Arabidopsis thaliana: one gene and its partners. The protein of the gene in region 2 interacts with the protein of the main gene of each other region in a pairwise test. Each region holds a gene or a part of one and is shown on either strand. Other genes may lie near its edges.

What was found.
Region 1: the proteins of MYB72 (region 2) and EIL3 interact in a two-hybrid assay, tested with the Arabidopsis thaliana proteins (one study listed by BioGRID).
Region 3: the proteins of MYB72 (region 2) and IAA30 interact in binary tests that used the Arabidopsis thaliana proteins (3 or more experiments, as listed by UniProt).

The regions. Positions count from the first base shown.
Region 1 is NC_003070.9:27,728,706-27,735,527, forward strand, and holds EIL3 (ETHYLENE-INSENSITIVE3-like 3), read right to left. Parts: upstream 3,979-6,822; 5' UTR 3,659-3,978; coding exon 3,624-3,658; intron 3,569-3,623; exon of another isoform or gene 3,398-3,568; coding exon 1,729-3,397; 3' UTR 1,698-1,728; intron 1,607-1,697; 3' UTR 1,326-1,606; downstream 1-1,325. Other genes in the region: SMU1 (transducin family protein / WD-40 repeat family protein), read left to right, coding at 18-77, 176-283, 378-478, 621-672, 919-1,017; AT1G73740 (UDP-Glycosyltransferase superfamily protein), read left to right, coding at 5,746-6,680, 6,766-6,822. UniProt on the Arabidopsis thaliana protein: Probable transcription factor that may be involved in the ethylene response pathway.
Region 2 is NC_003070.9:21,019,489-21,024,992, reverse strand, and holds MYB72 (myb domain protein 72), read right to left. Parts: upstream 2,610-5,504; coding exon 2,471-2,609; intron 2,386-2,470; coding exon 2,256-2,385; intron 2,235-2,255; exon of another isoform or gene 2,171-2,234; coding exon 1,549-2,170; 3' UTR 1,406-1,548; downstream 1-1,405. UniProt on the Arabidopsis thaliana protein: Involved in metal ions homeostasis, including iron ions (Fe) acquisition, via the regulation of NAS4 and NAS2 genes expression. Necessary for plant survival in alkaline soil where iron availability is greatly restricted.
Region 3 is NC_003074.8:22,992,653-22,998,134, reverse strand, and holds IAA30 (indole-3-acetic acid inducible 30), read right to left. Parts: upstream 2,450-5,482; 5' UTR 2,301-2,449; coding exon 1,934-2,300; intron 1,804-1,933; coding exon 1,707-1,803; coding exon of another isoform or gene 1,703-1,706; exon of another isoform or gene 1,597-1,702; coding exon 1,542-1,596; 3' UTR 1,326-1,541; downstream 1-1,325. Other genes in the region: AT3G62110 (Pectin lyase-like superfamily protein), read left to right, coding at 1-30, 110-822. UniProt on the Arabidopsis thaliana protein: Aux/IAA proteins are short-lived transcriptional factors that function as repressors of early auxin response genes at low auxin concentrations.

The DNA of each region.
Region 1 (6,822 bases), 6.7 Mb from region 2:
CTTGTTTCCTTGCACAGGTCTGGGATTCTAAGACGACAGATTGTCTACAAACATTCAAGCCGCCACCTCCGTTAAGGGTATCTTTTCTTATACAGATTTATGTACATCTTGTAATACTTTTTCTGATCTTCTGTGGCAAACTCTTTGGTTACCAAGTCTGAATTTTGAAATATAGGGAACTGATGCATCAGTCAACTCTATTCACTTGTTCCCCAAAAACACAGAACACATTGTTGTGTGCAACAAGACATCATCTATATACATTATGACACTCCAAGGACAGGTAAATTTCCAGCAACGGTCTCCTGCAAATCAGTGTCATTGTCATGCCAAAACTAAGATTGTTCACATGCTTCTATATTGGAATCCTTTTGCAGGTTGTGAAGAGTTTCTCATCCGGTAATAGGGAAGGAGGAGATTTTGTAGCAGCATGTGTATCTACAAAAGGAGATTGGATATACTGCATCGGCGAAGACAAGTAACACTCTAACCTCCTATATCTATCGTTTTATTTTTGGATAAGTTCCACGAGTTTGATTTCAAAGGATAATCTTATGGTTCCTTTCTTTTCGGGTTTCATCTTCTGCCTTTGATGTTCGTAATGGTGTTTGCACCTACAGGAAACTGTACTGCTTCAACTATCAATCTGGTGGACTTGAGCATTTCATGATGGTAAGTTTATATCCGTAACAGACATGCTCCAAAAGATTTTGGATGTTGGAAATTTGAAAGTTGCATTTGAGACAAACACATAACAGTAACTCACTAGAGTAATGAAGTCCCTTGTGTGTTATAATGTTTGATTCATCTGTTCTCCATTTTAGAGCTCAGATTATCATCCTCTCTCTCTCTCTCTTAATACTTATCTTAGTTGTCTTTTATTAGACCTGGTTTCTGAATAGTTTATGCTTATGACAGGTGCATGAGAAGGATGTGATTGGTATAACACACCACCCGCATAGAAACCTCCTTGCTACCTATAGTGAAGATTGCACTATGAAGTTATGGAAGCCCTGAGTTTTCTCATCATCAAGTCTTGTTTTCTGTATGATTAGTCTGTCTTTATTTGATTTGCACTCTTCTCGGGTTAGAACTAGTGTAATGTGAAACCATCTTTGCAAAGATCTCAGCCATTTTGGGAACACTACCCACAGACTCTAAAACCAGCATTTCAGATTTTAAGACCGTTTCACCTGGCCTTGAGCCTTGTAGTAGTTTATTTAACAACGTGTCTCCTTCCTCTTTGACCTTCCCAGCCAGTCAACTCCCATATACTTTTTAGTCTTAGGAAAGAATAAAGTCAAGCTCAAAAATATATAAAAAAAAATGAAAACTTGGGAAGTTCAAAAGAAACAAATAATGATTCTCTTAACTTGATGAATTACTCACAGGTAAATTTACAAATGATGATACGCTAACTGCTTTCCCTAGAGACCATTACAACGGGCAAAGCAGTTCTTCTGGCAACTTATTCAAAAGGAAAATTGTTTCTCTTAACAAATCTAAGAAAATATTATAAGAAAAAAAGAGGAAGAATATAAGATCAGAAGAAATGAAGAAGAGAAAGTAACTGTACTAGCCAGACTATTGCCATGTCCTTTTGAACCTACAAAAATAACAGTAAAACAAAATACATCAAATCTATAAACTAAGATCAAATATATGAGATGGTGTTGTGTAATAAAAAAAAAACTTACTATGTAATCTCCCAAAAAAAATGGCAAGACACTAAGCTCCAAACCATGAGAAATCATCACCAAAACCACCATAGTCAAAGTCCAAGTCAGTCAATGGAGACAGAATGCCACTCTGATACTGAGGCAACTCACTCCCTGTTACACCGTCTTCATTTCCGAGTAAACCAAGGGGTTGAAGTACTCCTCCTGGGGCCTCCTCGAACCCACTGTTGTGAGGTGGTGCTTGTGTATTCATTTCTATCTGTGTATGGAGAATGTCGTCTTCCTGGTTATGTACAAACACTGCAGAGGGATTGTAGAAGTTGTACCCTGACCCAAATTGAAGCTCTTGGTTAGGGTTTGGTCCATAAAGCATTGGCCTTTCGTCTACAGGCATCATAGTTTGTTCATTAACAAGTGGAAGATAAGTATAGTTGTTATTGAACTCAGGAACCACTAGTTCCAGACCATTATCCTCTGGTCCTAAGGCAATATTTGGGTCGACAACATCGTCCTCTTGATGAGTACCGTTGATGTTATATTCTAGCAGAGGGGCATCAACATGATTCATATCAGGTAAGATGTTTCTTTGTTGAGCTTCAGGTTGTTCTTCCTCTTGTCGATTGACAGTTCCGGATCTAATTCGAGGTCTTTTCCTTCTGCGATGTTTCTCTGCTTTATCTTGATCTCTTACTGAATGTGAGATGGCTGTTGGTTGTTCTTTTTGAATCTGATTTCTTCTACTGTCTTTAGATGAAACTGAACCTGAAGCTTCCTCTGTCCCATCAACATCATAGTCACTGTCACTGTTGACCACAGGTTTCCTCCTGTCAGCGTTATTACCCCTACGATGTGTCTCAGTCACATTGGAGTTTCCATTGTCACTGCTAGGCTGCTGAATCAAAGATTCCTCTTGGTTCAAAACCGCCAACCAAATCGCACTCTCTTTAGCTGTCATCTTGTCCTGTAAACATTTCGACTGACGAACATGCCTCTTAATCTTTGCAATATCAGGTAACATATGATTGATCACTGCCGTTAAAACTCCAACCTTCCACATCTTCTTGAGATCATGAGGTTTTCGGTAAGGAGGACTCTGGCTTTTAGGCAGACCGAGTTTCACCCACCATTCTTCATTCCCCGTTGGCCACCAAGGCGGAGGCGTCCCTTTCTCCAACGGATACTTCCTTTGAGGAGGATCACAATGTTGCATCAAAGAAGATAACAAAGACCCTAAAGTAGCATCTTGCAAATCCTGGAGAACAAACTGTGAATTCCTATTCCCATCAGATTTCCCAAACGCTAAACACTCCTCTTCGTATTTAGCAATAGCAGCAGGACCGTTCTTATCAAACTTCACTTTCTCTTTCCACCAAGCTCTTATATTGTCAGAGGAACCACTCACAGGCTTGCCCTTTTCCGGTATTATACCATAGACAAACCCGCGAACTTTGCAGACTTCCATAAGCTTCAACATGTACTTAAGGATACCATCTTGAGCTCTAGACATTTTCTTCCTCTGAGCTTGATCAGAGATTTTCTTAGGTGTCTCCTTCGTTTGAGCTCCTTGAGAGCCAGCTTTTTGTCGCTCTTTGATTCTTTTAAGCCTGACACGATCTTTCCACATCCGTCTCTCAAGGTCGTCAGCATCAATCTCTTCATCACTCACATCAATCTCAGCAACATTATCACTAGCTAAATCATCAGGCTCATTCTCCATCCTATCCACAATAAGCAAACTCTCAAAAATTAACAGCTTTCTAAAGTTTTTGATTTGATAAACAAAACAAAATCCATATATATCATTATCTTATGTTGTCAATACAGAGGAAAACCCAAGTATTCATTGATTCATCAGCTGATTGAGATTGAACTAATGATTCATATAAACCCTAAATTCACAAGCATGAAAGGGAAATTAATGAAATTGAATCAAATGTTCTTCACCTGATGTCTGCTACGGACATAGCAAGATCGCCCATTTAAACAAAATCAATCAAAAACCTTTAACAACGATAATCTGAAGCGCCGAAATTAAAGAAATTTAGGGTTTTTATTCTTTCTCCTGTCGTTCTCAGGGGAAGAAGAGAGTAAAAAATGGCTGCGAATTGTGGAGAGGCAAAGTTTTGATTTAGTCGGACCAAAGCCAAAGTATTGTTGTGGCAATAACCCAACCCCCAAAGGCCAAATTTTTTTTTTTTTTTTTGTTGTTGCAAAAACCAAGTTGTTTTCTTCGGTTTCTGTTTTTTTTTTTCTTTAATGTAAAAAAATATTTTGTTACTTTATATCTGTTGTCGAGTCAATCTCTCTTTCTGTCTCTCGTTTTTTTTTTCTCAACACGGATTTTTATTGGCTCAACAAATAGAATAATAGTATTTATTTTGAGTAATTAGTTACGAGGAATACCAATGAAGTTTATTGTATTTAACTGTCCGGATTAGTAAAAAAAACTCAATTTTGCCATTAACCTATTCTTTTCCCCATAAATTAAAGTCTTTTGGGTTTTAATTTGGCTTTAAATAAAAAGCACATTTTCTTAACTTTTTTGGGTTTAAAATTTGCATAATGCTAAATGCTAACGTATACCACTCAATAGCAAATTGTTGTCCTACATAGTGCTAAATGCTATAACTCAAGCAAACTGTTCATCAAGTCACTTGACTTCTATCAAAACATGATGCATATGGCAGATAGCACATAGGTAAACATAATTAAAATTATTTTGAATAAATTTCTATTCTAAACTTTTAATTAGACACACATTTATATTTTTGTAATGTTTTTTATGTTTATTTTACAAACACACTATTCATTTTGAATGTTTTAATCCAATTATTGTAAGCAATCTCAAAACAAGAATAGTTTCATGCTCATTAAGAGATTAAGAGAAATATAAAGATAAAATTTGATAGCTCATGAATGAGTTTTATTGTCCAAGGAAAGAAAAGAACTTTAGATTGTCACCAAAATTAGTAAGACTTTGATGCAATCATAAAATGGGAAAAAAAGGAGAGTAGCCTCTTTGACAACTCTCTGAGTTAATCACATTAATTCACACTATAAATATAAGAGATTACTTGTTTAGATAACCTAATTACATGGGCTTCTAGACAATGATAAGCCTTTGAACTATAAACCATATGAATTAAACCTTTTTTATGGACCCTCTAATAATTATTACGTTCAACTTTACTCATTTATCCTAGTCATTTTCCACATCCGATCCAACTTAAAAATAATGGTATCATTTTTCTGAACCACCAGTGTATAAAGGAGAAGGAAAAAAAGTTAACTGATGAATTAGAAAGTTGCAGCATCATTGGGACCAGTTTTGCATTTACGGCCAAGAGCTACCCACACGACCACCACTACGATTTTCATGTACTGCTAGTATTGATTTATTAGTAGTTTAATACAGCTCATTTAGTCACTTGTTAAAAAATATTATACTAATCTTAGTATGTTAATCTACACTTAACGTGCCTTCAATACAATAAAAAGAATATAATTGGATACCAAAAATTAGAGAAATGGACCCAGTGGCTATTAACTTCTCACACTGGAGAGAGAGTGACATCAAACTACAAACCAATTTTATTTTATTTTTTTTCCAAAACGGAACTGAAAGTTGTTTGAAAATCCCTCATTGGCTCTTCTTCTACATTTATATTTCTTTTACTATACAATATCTTAGCTCTCTGATACAACTATTAAATGCTTAATATATGAATAATACGTGGTTTAGAGTAACTAACAAACGTAAATAAAATAACAATATTTCTCCCTACTCGTGGCAACATAAGCTGAACAGAGCCAAGTACAAACAAGTTGACTTTCTGCTACAAACTTTGACTATCCCGACAAGAAAAAACCTTAAGATTGATCAGGAAGGATCTCATCGGTTCTTCTATCTTGTCTCTGACCATTCTTCTTCTTCTTCTTCTCAACAACACTTCTGATAATTTAACATTGCATCTCCTACTCATTCTCATCGTCTTCGTCTTCAATCTTCTACACGAATGTCGCAGTGAAATTTTTTGACTCTTTCAGCTTCTTCTCGCCATCTCTAATGGCGATCCCTTCCTTCCTCTCTCCAAATTTACACTTTTACCCTTCTACCAAACTCGTTCCGAGTCGACTCACTCTTTCCTCATCCTCCTTCGTTTGTTGTTTATCAGTAGACCGCCAAATTAACCATTCCTCCGTCTCCAACGAAACCTCCGGCTTACGAGTTGTCATATCCGCCGGAGGCACCGCCGGACACATCTCTTCAGCCTTAGCGATCGGAGACGAGCTAAAATCAGCCGACCCACTTGCTCGAATCCTCTTCATCGGATTCCCAAACAGTATGGAGAGCACGACGGTTCCATCCGCCGGATTCGATTTCTCAACAATCTCCACCGTCGGATCATCATCGTCCCGACCATTCCTCTGTTTCACCTCTTTCCTCAAATTCCCTCTCCGCTTGATCCAATCCACCTTCGAATCCTACAAAATCCTCCGCGAACTAAAACCACAAATCGTCATCGGCACCGGAGGACACGCCTCTTTTCCGGTCTGTTTCGCCGCCGTGATCTCAAGAACTAAATTCGTAATCCAAGAACAAGATTCAATCCCTGGAACCACTAACTGGATTCTGTCTTTCTTCGCCGATACAATCTTCGCTCCTTTCAACTGTACAGTCACTAACCTCCCCAAACGAGTCGCCGCGAAGTGTGTCGTCTACGGGAACCCGATAAGACAAACGCTTAGACGATACTCGTCGAAAGGAGCGGCGCGTGTGAGCTTCTTCGGACAGTGGGCTGGAGCTGTGTCGGAACCGAAAGTTGTGCTTTTGCTTGGTGGGTCTTTAGGAGCCAATGCCATTAACATAGCTTTGCTTAACTGTTACTCGCAGTTGTTGTCTGAACATGAGAACTGGTTCTTTGTTTGGCAAACTGGTGTTGAAGCTTTTGATGAAATGGATAGTCTTGTTAGAAGTCATCCTCGTCTCTTTCTATCTCCGTGAGTTATACAACAACATTTTTAACTGTTTAGCTGCTTTTGTATTGACTAATAACTCAAAATGTGTTTTATTATGTGGTATAAGGTTTTTGAGGTCGATAGGTGTGGCGTATGCGGCTGCAGATTTGGTTATCTCGAGAGC
Region 2 (5,504 bases):
ATATGCTGGTTTCAAATCCGGATTTGGGAGTCACGACCCAAGCAGAGCACGATTCACAACATGGACCAAAGATGATAACTTTTGATCCTTTACTACGGTTTTGTCAAAGCTAAAGGATCAAAGAAGTGAAGAAAACGAAATTGGAGAGAGAAGTTTCCAATAGAAACAGAAAATGGAAGAAGAAACACAGACATACCAGTGAGAGTGAGATCTCGCGAAACCCTAAGATAAATGGGTTTGGGGCGGGTTAGCTTTTTATCAAGCGTTTCTGGTGGTGCGTATCTTCCGCCTAGTTGACACGTGTCGAAAAAGCGGGAGTTTTTACGTTACTTCCACCTGTATGCTTTTCATTGGTTATGTTGTGTTATTCCAGAAATTTCTTTATCGGACGGTTTCGAAGAATAACGAAGAACACGTGAAGTGCGCGTGAACAAAAGTCACGTGACATTTGCAACGTCGCGCAAACTTATTTTCGAAGAAGCCCATTGGACCTTGTGGGCTGTAAATCACCCGGGCCGGATCAAAACTTGACCCTAATTGTCAACAGAGTAAAGGGAAACGGGAAGCAGAGGAAAGGAAACCATCGAAAGAAGTTGCAGAGGCAAAGGATCCATCTTTGCTATCGCCACTCTTCTTTGGGGTTCGAAAGAGCCAGACTTTGTTTAATTATGCCGATAATTATGTGCAGAGTCGTCGCTAGTTTTGTTCTGTAAGGAGCAGAACAGTCTCCTCCATCCCTCTATGTGAAGTCCACAATTGCTCCACTTTTCAGAAGCCAAGGTATCTTCTTACTGCTAATGTATTTACCATACGTGTTTAACTTACACAAGCTCTCTTCTTTGTGTTTTAATCTGTAAGAGATTGGTGTAGTTGTCGGATTTCTGTTAATCATTGCGTGCTCGGAGCTGTGAAATTTGTAGTTTTTGTGATTCTAGTGTGATATGTGATGATCCCAAACAGGTCATGTGCTTTAATAAACGGTTGGAGCAAGAATCAAAAGTTTGTGTATTCTTTGTAGTATTTGTTCTGTTTTTTTCTTTTCTTTTCTTCTTCTGTTTGGTCTCACTGAGACCGTCTCAGTCTCTCAAATATGTATGGACTTAGGATAATTCAGAAGCTTTTGACATTGAAGCCCTTACAGGAAGCAAATATCAAGTGATTGAAATGATGAGTACAGTTGGAGTCATATTTCTTGTTGTTTGTATCTAGGCTAAGAAACTTACACACACCTAATTCGATTTCAGGACTTGATGCTTGGTGTGGCGCCTGATCTCGACACACCGGAAGCAGTCGATGCTGCCATTGCCAGCCATCAACCTGCGACCTGTTTTGGCCTCTGAAAACGGAGACTCTGAGAGCAGCCATAAGAGTGATCGAGAAGGAAAAGAGAAGAGTTGTTTGTGTGAATCTAGCCGAAAAACGAACCAATATCATAGAGCTCTCATAAAACATAGCATCTTCTCAATGCATGGGCAATCCATGTAAAATAGTAATTTACTCAACATTCAAAAGTGGATACAACACTGGTCATGCATATATTATTGACATTCATAGACATACTTCTCCGACGAAATTAAAATCATCAAAGTAAGTTTGGTTGTCAATGAAGTTGAACCACTCGTCGTACTCATTGTTAGGTGTGGTTGATTCAACCAGCTGTCTCCTCAAGTCGGATTCTTCGTTTGTGTCTTCAAATCCGCATGGGATATCCGGTTGAGGATGATCAAATGATTGCGATTTGGTTACCTCTCGAGTCATTTCTTGGGTTGAAATGTGAGTTTGGTGGTTATGAAGAAGAGAGTCTAGCGGAAATAAGATATCGTTATCCTGAAGAAACTCAGAGGTTATATCATCAAAGTCATCATGGTCGAGCAGGAACTGGATCTCGTTGAGTCCATTAACCTCATGAAGCTCTGGTTTTGTGTGCATACACTCGCCTTGGTGATGTGACGAAGTAGCTGAGTTTTGGCTCTCATTTAACCCTGAATGTATTTCTTCTTGAGCCCCGTCACAGTTCTTGTCATGATCTGCTTTTGTGCTTTGGTCATGAGTGCTAGAGAGGGATGAAGAAGAAGAAGATGGAGTGAGTCGTTTCTTGAGATGCGTGTTCCACACGTTTTTGATCTCGTTGTCAGTTCTTCCCGGCAAGAAGGACGCGATCTTTGACCACCTGATGATCACATATATCAATTAGTCTCTACATACTATATATTGTCTTATTATAAAGAAATTAGATGAATAGGTAGAGTACAAACTTGTTTCCAAGGGTTTGATGGTAGTGAATGATAGCATCTTCCTCCTTTTTGCTAAAGTTGCCTCGCTTCACGTCCGGTCTCAGATAGTTTATCCATCTTAGTCGGCAACTTTTCCCACATCTCAACAATCCTATGTATATATATCAATCATTATTTCTCTTAGTTATTTAAAACTTTATAGTATTACCGAAACATGCATGTGAATAAATACTAACCAGCAAGCTTGGGAAGAGATCTCCAGTTTTGATGGCCATGTTTTTGAATAAAAGTGATGAGAGTGAGATCTTCTTGAGGGCTCCATGGCCCTCTCTTCACTTTGTTCTTGTCGCAGCATGGTGCTCTTCCTTTCCCCATTCTTATTACACTACTTTCTTCTCTATAGCTACCTTCACTATATCTTTCTCTATATATGCAATGTTATGTTTTTGATTATTATCAGGAGCTCCTATATATATATCATTGATATAACCCGGCTCTTTACGTCAGAAGATGTTTTATAATTATTAGTTAGAGATTAGATTTTCCACTCCATTCAATAAAACTCTTATTTATTTGAGGCACTTCACTCGTAGAGAGAGACCCAAAAGCATGGAACGTACGGAAGTTAACGGCAGATTTTAACTAGTAATCTCTTAAATTTCTTTTGTTACTCATATGCCCGTGTACAGATCATAGTGTCCATTAAGTATAATTGTGTAAACAAGTTATGCATGATTCATTGACGAGTTACGAAAAATATGTATATTAATTTGAGCATCACGGAAATATTTAAATAGTTTGATACATTTCTTGATTATTCAGTTTTAAATATTTTATACAAAAAGATTTTCGACTTTAGATTTTGATATGAGCGAGTAGAAATCTAGTATATTGTAAACTTTAGAGCGGTTGTTTGTGTGCGTGTGTGTTAAAGACCACAAGGGCCATGCCACAAACAAAAGTAACACCAATTGGAGAAATAAATAGAATAAATCTGTAGACTGTAATCCTAATTAATTCAGATCAGTTTATTTTTTATTAATCCTGACACTTATTATTTGACATTTAGTTCAGAAGGAGAATTCAATAATCCTTTTCTTTAGCCTATTAACTTATTTACTCGTCTTCGTATTTCTTATAAAACTCAACCCACATCATCATCATCATCATCTAAGTTTACTCTTATTTACTCCTTTTATTTACTTCTTAATCACTTTGTATCTAATGTTTAAGGTTTTTACGCATAAATTAAGAAAACACAAGACATTCATTTAATTTATCTCTTTTACATAAAAACATCATTAAGTTCAGTTTTCAGACAATAACAAAAACATGATGTAAAACATAATTAGCCAAAAAAATTAAGATATTAACAAATTGAAAACATCACTTATAATGAATCAAGAACAAAATACCCTTAAAACATCACTTAAATTGATGTGGAGGGAATATTATTTACTTTTTTTTGCTATGAAGTTTTAATACAAAGAATAATGAAAGTTCACATTTCTATTAGTAATTAGAGAATACTGGTATATATAGACATTGCGTTTTAAACTGAACATAAATGACTTATCTTTAAAACACCACTTCATAAAATTTCAAAATATTTATATCTAACGTATAAATGACTTCATAAATGACTTATCTTTAAAACACCACTTCAGAACGCAAAGTTCCTTATTTGAAAGAGAAAAATAAAATAAAAGTTTAAACACGAAGTTGTACATCCAAATCATGATGTATGATGATTAATTTTGTAGTTGTTTAGACTATAAGTTGTGATGATTAAATTATATATTGGTGTTTTCCATAAATTAAAATATGGCATGGCATGGTTAGACTTCAAATCCACGCCACAAGGCTCTGATGTAAGATTGCGCAAAAAAACTAATGATCATTCCATCCGTATAATACATATGCTATCTACTTTATATAAATACGTAAGTATGCAATTTTATATAGGTTTAATGCATGATGTACAAAAACATGAATACATAATACATGAATACCTTTTAGCATACGTTAGGCAAGCAAGAGTCTCGTAACTCTTACCTTTTAGTGAGGTTAAATGTAATATGAGGTAATCTAAAGTGCTAATAAAATGTGTGGAAGTACGAATAATATCCATGCTTCCATTCCCAACTTCCAATCAAAATCAGCATACGTACTTCTTTTGTACGTACGTATACGGATATATATTATAAACACATTAGGGTCCTATATATATATATATAATATCTTATACATACATATGAAATAAATATCGATAAAAGAGATTGGACATAAGGTAAAGTTTTAAAACGTGACGTAGCATGTGTGGGTCTAAGTAAAAACTTGTAATGATTGGCAATCACATTATATATGTATCACATACGTCTAGATATATACAATAGAAATAGTTTGTTTATTTGAAGTGGTCAACTTGTATGACTTAATTCACATTAAAAAGTAAACAAAACAAAAAGGAAATTAAGAGCTTGTGAGTCACTGTATGTTTAGCACTTCTTCCTCGCGACGTCGTGTTACTTGTGCAATTCTACGTGTGCCTGACTTCAACTCTACACGTGTTTTGACAATGGATAATTTTGTCCGTACGTAAAATATCGTCCACCAACTTTATTGTAATTATGAATTTATGAAAAGTAGAATAATGGAGAATGAAAGTCATTAGATTCTCGAGATTAAGATTAATCTAAATGCCGTTCTGGATATATGCACTGTGATTTTTAAGAAAATCTGTTATTTTTCAACCTTTAAAACAATCAGTTGGTAATTTAGCATGAGAATAAAAGGATAAAGAGTTATCATCCTCACATTCAACTCAAATCACAGAATAAGGAAGTGCTTTTCGAAAGAAAAGATTTGGATGACCCGAAAGCTGGACAACCAATATGGAAAACGATTTCGTATTATTAGCATGACTTCTATAATTATAGTTATGGCAGGTTCTGGCTTGGTTCTTAAGGAACCGAGCACTAGCTAGTTGCTTACACATGTTCAGAAATAGTCGTCTGTAATAGCATCTTTATGATAGTCTTGAGGTTGGATATGGTAGTGTGAAAGAATTGGTCCAAACGAGAATGTCGGAGAATATGGGGCTCTTCGTTTTGTTTTGTCGAAGGAAAAATAAAAAATAGTAGCACAATATAAGATTACTGGAAAAAAGATGGTCTTGATCTCCTCGACATAACTAGATAGAAAACAAGTTTATATTTCAAAAGCAATAAACTACATAGAAAACAACAACAATAGACATAGAAGGTACAA
Region 3 (5,482 bases), on a different chromosome or scaffold from region 2:
AATCTCCAAATACAGATGGAGTTGATCCAGGTGAGTTTCCTTGCAAATTTTACTCGTAGATTCAAGATATGTACCTTATTATTATCTTTGGAAATTGTTCTGTTTGCAGATTCATCAACTAATGTTTGCATAGAGGATTGTTACATAGTTACCGGGGATGATTTGGTATCGATAAAAAGCGGATGGGATGAGTATGGAATATCCTACGCAAGACCGAGCTCCAAGATCAAGATTAATCGGTTAACAGGTCAAACTACTTCAAGCTCAGGAATAGCAATAGGAAGTGAAATGTCGGGAGGTGTATCCGAAATATACATTAAAGACTTACATTTGTTCAATTCGAATACTGGAATCAGAATCAAGACTTCTGCTGGAAGAGGCGGGTATGTTAGAAACGTTCACATCTTGAACGTGAAGCTCGATAATGTAAAGAAAGCGATTAGGTTCACCGGTAAGTACGGTGAACATCCTGATGAGAAATACGATCCCAAAGCACTCCCAGCTATAGAGAAAATCACCTTTGAGAATGTAAATGGCGATGGAATAGGTGTTGCGGGTCTTCTTGAAGGTATAGAAGGAGATGTGTTTAAGAATATATGTTTCCTTAATGTTACTCTTAGAGTGAAGAAGAATTCGAAGAAATCACCATGGGAATGCTCGAATGTGAGAGGTTATTCACAGTGGGTTTCGCCGGAAATTACTTGTGATTCTTTGAAAGAGAGTATATTCCCGGAACATGGATCTGATTGTTTCGGGTTATCGGAAAATAATATGGAGATATCAAGTGGTTTAAGTAGATCACCATGGTTACTTTCTTGGTAAGTTACTGTGAAGTTTTGAACATCAAAGGGGAAACACAGTTTGCTTGATTCTGAAGAAACCTCTTCGATTTTGAAAAATGATGCTTTCTTTCATCTTTTGTTGTTTTCGTGTAAATTTGTGTGCAGTGAGGAAAATAATCAGAGTGGCTTAAGAGTTTTTGTTTTTGTTTTCCTTGTATGGGCTTTAATGCTTTTGGTGAGCGGAACAATTGTAATATCTCCGACAGAGTCTGTTGAAATTTTTTGACAATTATTTTTCAATTTCAGATTCCATAACTAGAACAACTATATTTCACTGTTTATTCCGGTAAAATAGTTGAATTGAGAAGTAAATGATAGTATGAAAATATGAAATAGATCTTGATTTGGTTAAACTAGTAACTCAACTGAAACTTTGTGAAAACTAGAATACGAATATGAACCTAATTCAGCAGTGTTCCAAAACAATTCATATTTCTAGTATTATCTAATCTATGTCTAAAACCATAAAAATAACTACTAAACCAAAAAGGATCTGCATTAGCTACAGCTTTTTTTCTTGAAAAAAATAGCTTCATTACAAGTTACAACCGATTTTTTTATAAATGTAATAAAACTAGAAACAAAATTTGAATAAAATCTCGAACAAGTGATTTACATTCAGACAAAACTAACTTTTTCCCCCACCACCACTGACTGTATTGGTCAATCCTAGATTCTTCCAAGTTTGCTTTTAGAAAATCAGTAGTGATAAGCTCTTGAGATCTTTAGTCTTCTCACGCTAGACAAGAACATCCTACATAATCAATTAAGTCCCCATTAATTAAAGGGAATTTTTACATAATTATGTCAAAAAAAATACTTAACTAGAGATTTTTAATACACTAAAATTAAAAAAGAACTTACTCCCAAGGAACATCTCCAACCATCATCCAGTCACCTTCTTTGTCTGCGTACGTTAGCACGTGACTCTTCTCACTACACATATCTTCTTCTTCAGCCCCTATTTTCACAATTTTTTTATTGCCATTAGTTTTGGTCTTAACTATATACATGCAAAGAGAGGTATAACAAATATAAATATTAACTAAGTCTACATGCAAAGATGTAATTAAGTGTGTGTAGATACTTACAAAGGATTGAAGCATTGAACATGTAGTCGAGAGTTGTGATCAAATCATGATATCCATTAAGAGATAAAAGATCGATCTTTCTCCCAATAGGAACTCCTTCCATGTTCACTTTCACGTAGAAGCTTCCGACACTATTACACTCGTTTTGCTCTTCTTCTTCCATGATCATCATTTCCTCTGCCGCACCGACTCCATCATATTCATGGTTATCTCCACCGTTGTAATATTGTCCGGAAGATGATCCGAAGCTGAGCCCGAGTCTCAGGTCCGTGCTTAGGTTCCGAGTATTACTCGAAGACACACCAAATGGGTTGCTTTTGCAGCTGCTCTCTATCGATGAAGACGATGAGCTTCTCCCTCTTCCCATTTTTTTTTATTTCTTTTACTATTTCTCTCTCTCTATGATTTTATCTAAAACAGGTGATTAATGATTTGAACGTGTGTGTATTATATATAGAGAATGGAAATTTTTATTTAATTGTTAGAGCTTAAAAGGAAGAAGTAATAATATTGGAATGGTCTTTCTGATATGTTTTTTTTTTAATTAAAGAAAATGGTGGAATGATGAGACAGTGTTGTTAAAGATGTTGTCCATGTAGCAGACAAATACACGTGTCATGCAGACACTTGGTCAAAGTGTTGGTTTTGACTTTGTGCTCGGATTTTTTTGCTGGGTGTGTTCTAATTAAATTTTGTTTGTTTCAATGTAAATATACTCGACTCCTAGTACTACCTTTCGTTTAACAAAAAAAAAAAGAAAAAAGATTGTTTGATTTCTTATAAAATAATTAGGGTTGGATTTTAGAATTAACTGAATTATTTTGTTAAAACACTATAAATGAATAAGAAACTGTGACTGATTTAGTTTAAAAAGTTTAGGCTTAGATTTAAGGAATCATATGAACGTAGACAAGATAGTTCTAAACCGGATAAGAACATGTTTTCTTAAATAAATGTAGACCAATGTACAATACATAGTTTACTTCATTATCCGTCTTAGTAAAATCAAGTTCAATGCATGAGACTATCGTGACGCGCATTGATGCATTCGTGGGTTCGACAAACAACACTTCCATAATTAAGGTTTTTTTTATAACCGCGAGACACTTTAAGCAAAAAAAATGTTTTTGTTTTAGCATTAAAGTATGTCAAAATGTTTTTTAAATTGAATATCAACTGCTAAACACGTCTCATGTACGTCATTAACTCTCTAATAATGTTCTTTAATTATGACAAAAAATATTGAAAATAGTCTACGTGGACTCCATTGTATCTAAGCATGACAAGAGTTTGAGCTTTCCATGATTTTAATCCACGTCGCTGTTAGTAATTACACTCCTCTACTAATTTGATTGTTCCTTTTAATTTATCTTATCATGAAGCATCTATAGTCAAGTCCAACCACTACTATATTTTTCCAATACTAAACCAATTTACCAACCTTTTATGTGTAGCAATCAAAGTGAATCAAGTGGTGCTAATCTCCCACAAATCTTAATCAGAATTTCTGTATCTTTTCATGGCAGAGACCAAAACACATCATATTGGTGATCTTAGTCTTATCCGTCGTTAGTATTCAAAATAGTGACTTTAATAAATGCTTCTCTTTGGTTGGCACACCAAGATTCTATTTGTGTAATATTCATTGGATTTAGATAGAAACATGTATGTGGTATAGTCAATTCGGTTGATATATTAAACTTTGGTCACCAGAAAAAAGTGCATGCTTCTTGGTTTTGTACGTTACATGTAATAAATTAGAAGCGAAGAAACAAATAGAGGGGAATATAGAAAAAGAAAGAAAATGAGAGAAGGGAAGCATGAGTAATGAATGCGTAACCTTAAAGAGAGGAGCTAATGAGAGATGCTTCGCCTATGGACTAAGGACTGAGGATACGTCACAATTCTCACACTCCAAAACATACATATAGTTTTGCAAGCACGAGACAGTAAACACTATCGACAACATTTCACGTTCCCCACGTCACGTGCCTTTTTCCACGTGTCTCCTCACTTTGTCGCCTCCACTTCCACTCTTCTACAATCACTCCTTAAGCTTCTTCATGACCTACCAATCAATATGATTAGAACTCTTTGTTCTCTCTTTTATAATTGGAAGATTTTGTCCAAAGTTATTTTTACAATCAAATCATATTCCATTCCGTCTTTTAGTTTATATGTACAACGTAACTTGTTTCTTATTTTTAATTAATGGTTTTAGAACTTAAAGTTTTACGGATTACAAATAGTATTCTTAAGTATTAAAGTGTTTTTCATATTATATATAGTTTTTTAAAATAATTTGAAACGATCCTGAATCTCTTATCAAGTGTCTTTATCATTGAGCCAAAAACATATATAGTATACACATTCATACAAATCTTTTGAACCCGAAACATCCAAACAATGTCGTTATCACAATAACCGACATGTATTGCGTAGATATCGTTTGGTTTGAAGAAACAAATAGATACTATTAGAAAGAAGAAGAGAAAAAGATTTAGCTTGAACCAAAAGAAACTCCAAACATGATTTTTGAGAGAGAAAAAAAAAAAGGGAAACTGATAAAGAAGAGATATGTTCCCCACCACCCCTACCATTATCATCACAATTTCCTCACTTTTTTTTCTTTCTTCTTCAAACTTTTTTCTCCACACCATTCTTTGTCCCCTTTGTTTTTTTTTTTTGTATCTTGTACTCGTCTTTTGTTTCTAGATAACCAATATGTTATTACATGTATTTGGTCAAGTATTTTCTTTGAATAACGTATAAAATTCTGGAAAGCGAACATAGATAGTAAAAACAAGAAAAAAATAGAGTCAATTCTAAGTAAATTAAATCCTATTTGTGAAAGTATAAAAACAATACTAAAAGAAAATTGGAGAATTGAGATTTCACCATATGTACATAGAAATGAAATTCAAAAGAAAAACAGTGATTCTCAGATTTTCAAGGCACTCATAGTTTTTTAGTTTCAAGATTTAATGATAATGTCTCGTCCTTTTACAAATCATTAAGTTGTAAGAGAGTTTTGCTTCTTTTTGAAAGAAAAAAAATACTACTCATAATTTACTTTATGTTTATCATAAATTATGATAACTCGACTTTACTGCAATGTGTTTGCTTGTCAGTAAAAACATGGGCTGGCTTCAAATCCGGATGATTGCATGTCTCGTGACTCTTTTGTAGCCTCTCTTGTTGGCCAACTCATTCCATTTTCTCGTTTTAGGCTCTTTCTTTTTTTTAGTCACAAAGTTGACCATACCAACATGCAAGACCAATTATTATATCTCTTTTTGACATAAACCAATTATTATATCTTCAAAATTAGAGGTTTTTGACCACCACTCTGATATATTTTTGGCTTCGAAACCAACCAACAAAAAACATAGCGGTTTAAAAATTAAAAAACCGTCTTTATCATAAACCAAACCATAAAATGCAGTGATTCACCTTCTAATCTTCTGTTTGACGTACAAGTGATAAATGACTTCAAAGCTACTCCCGTTTCTTTACGAGTGATTTCATTTCATCATAAAGAAATATGTG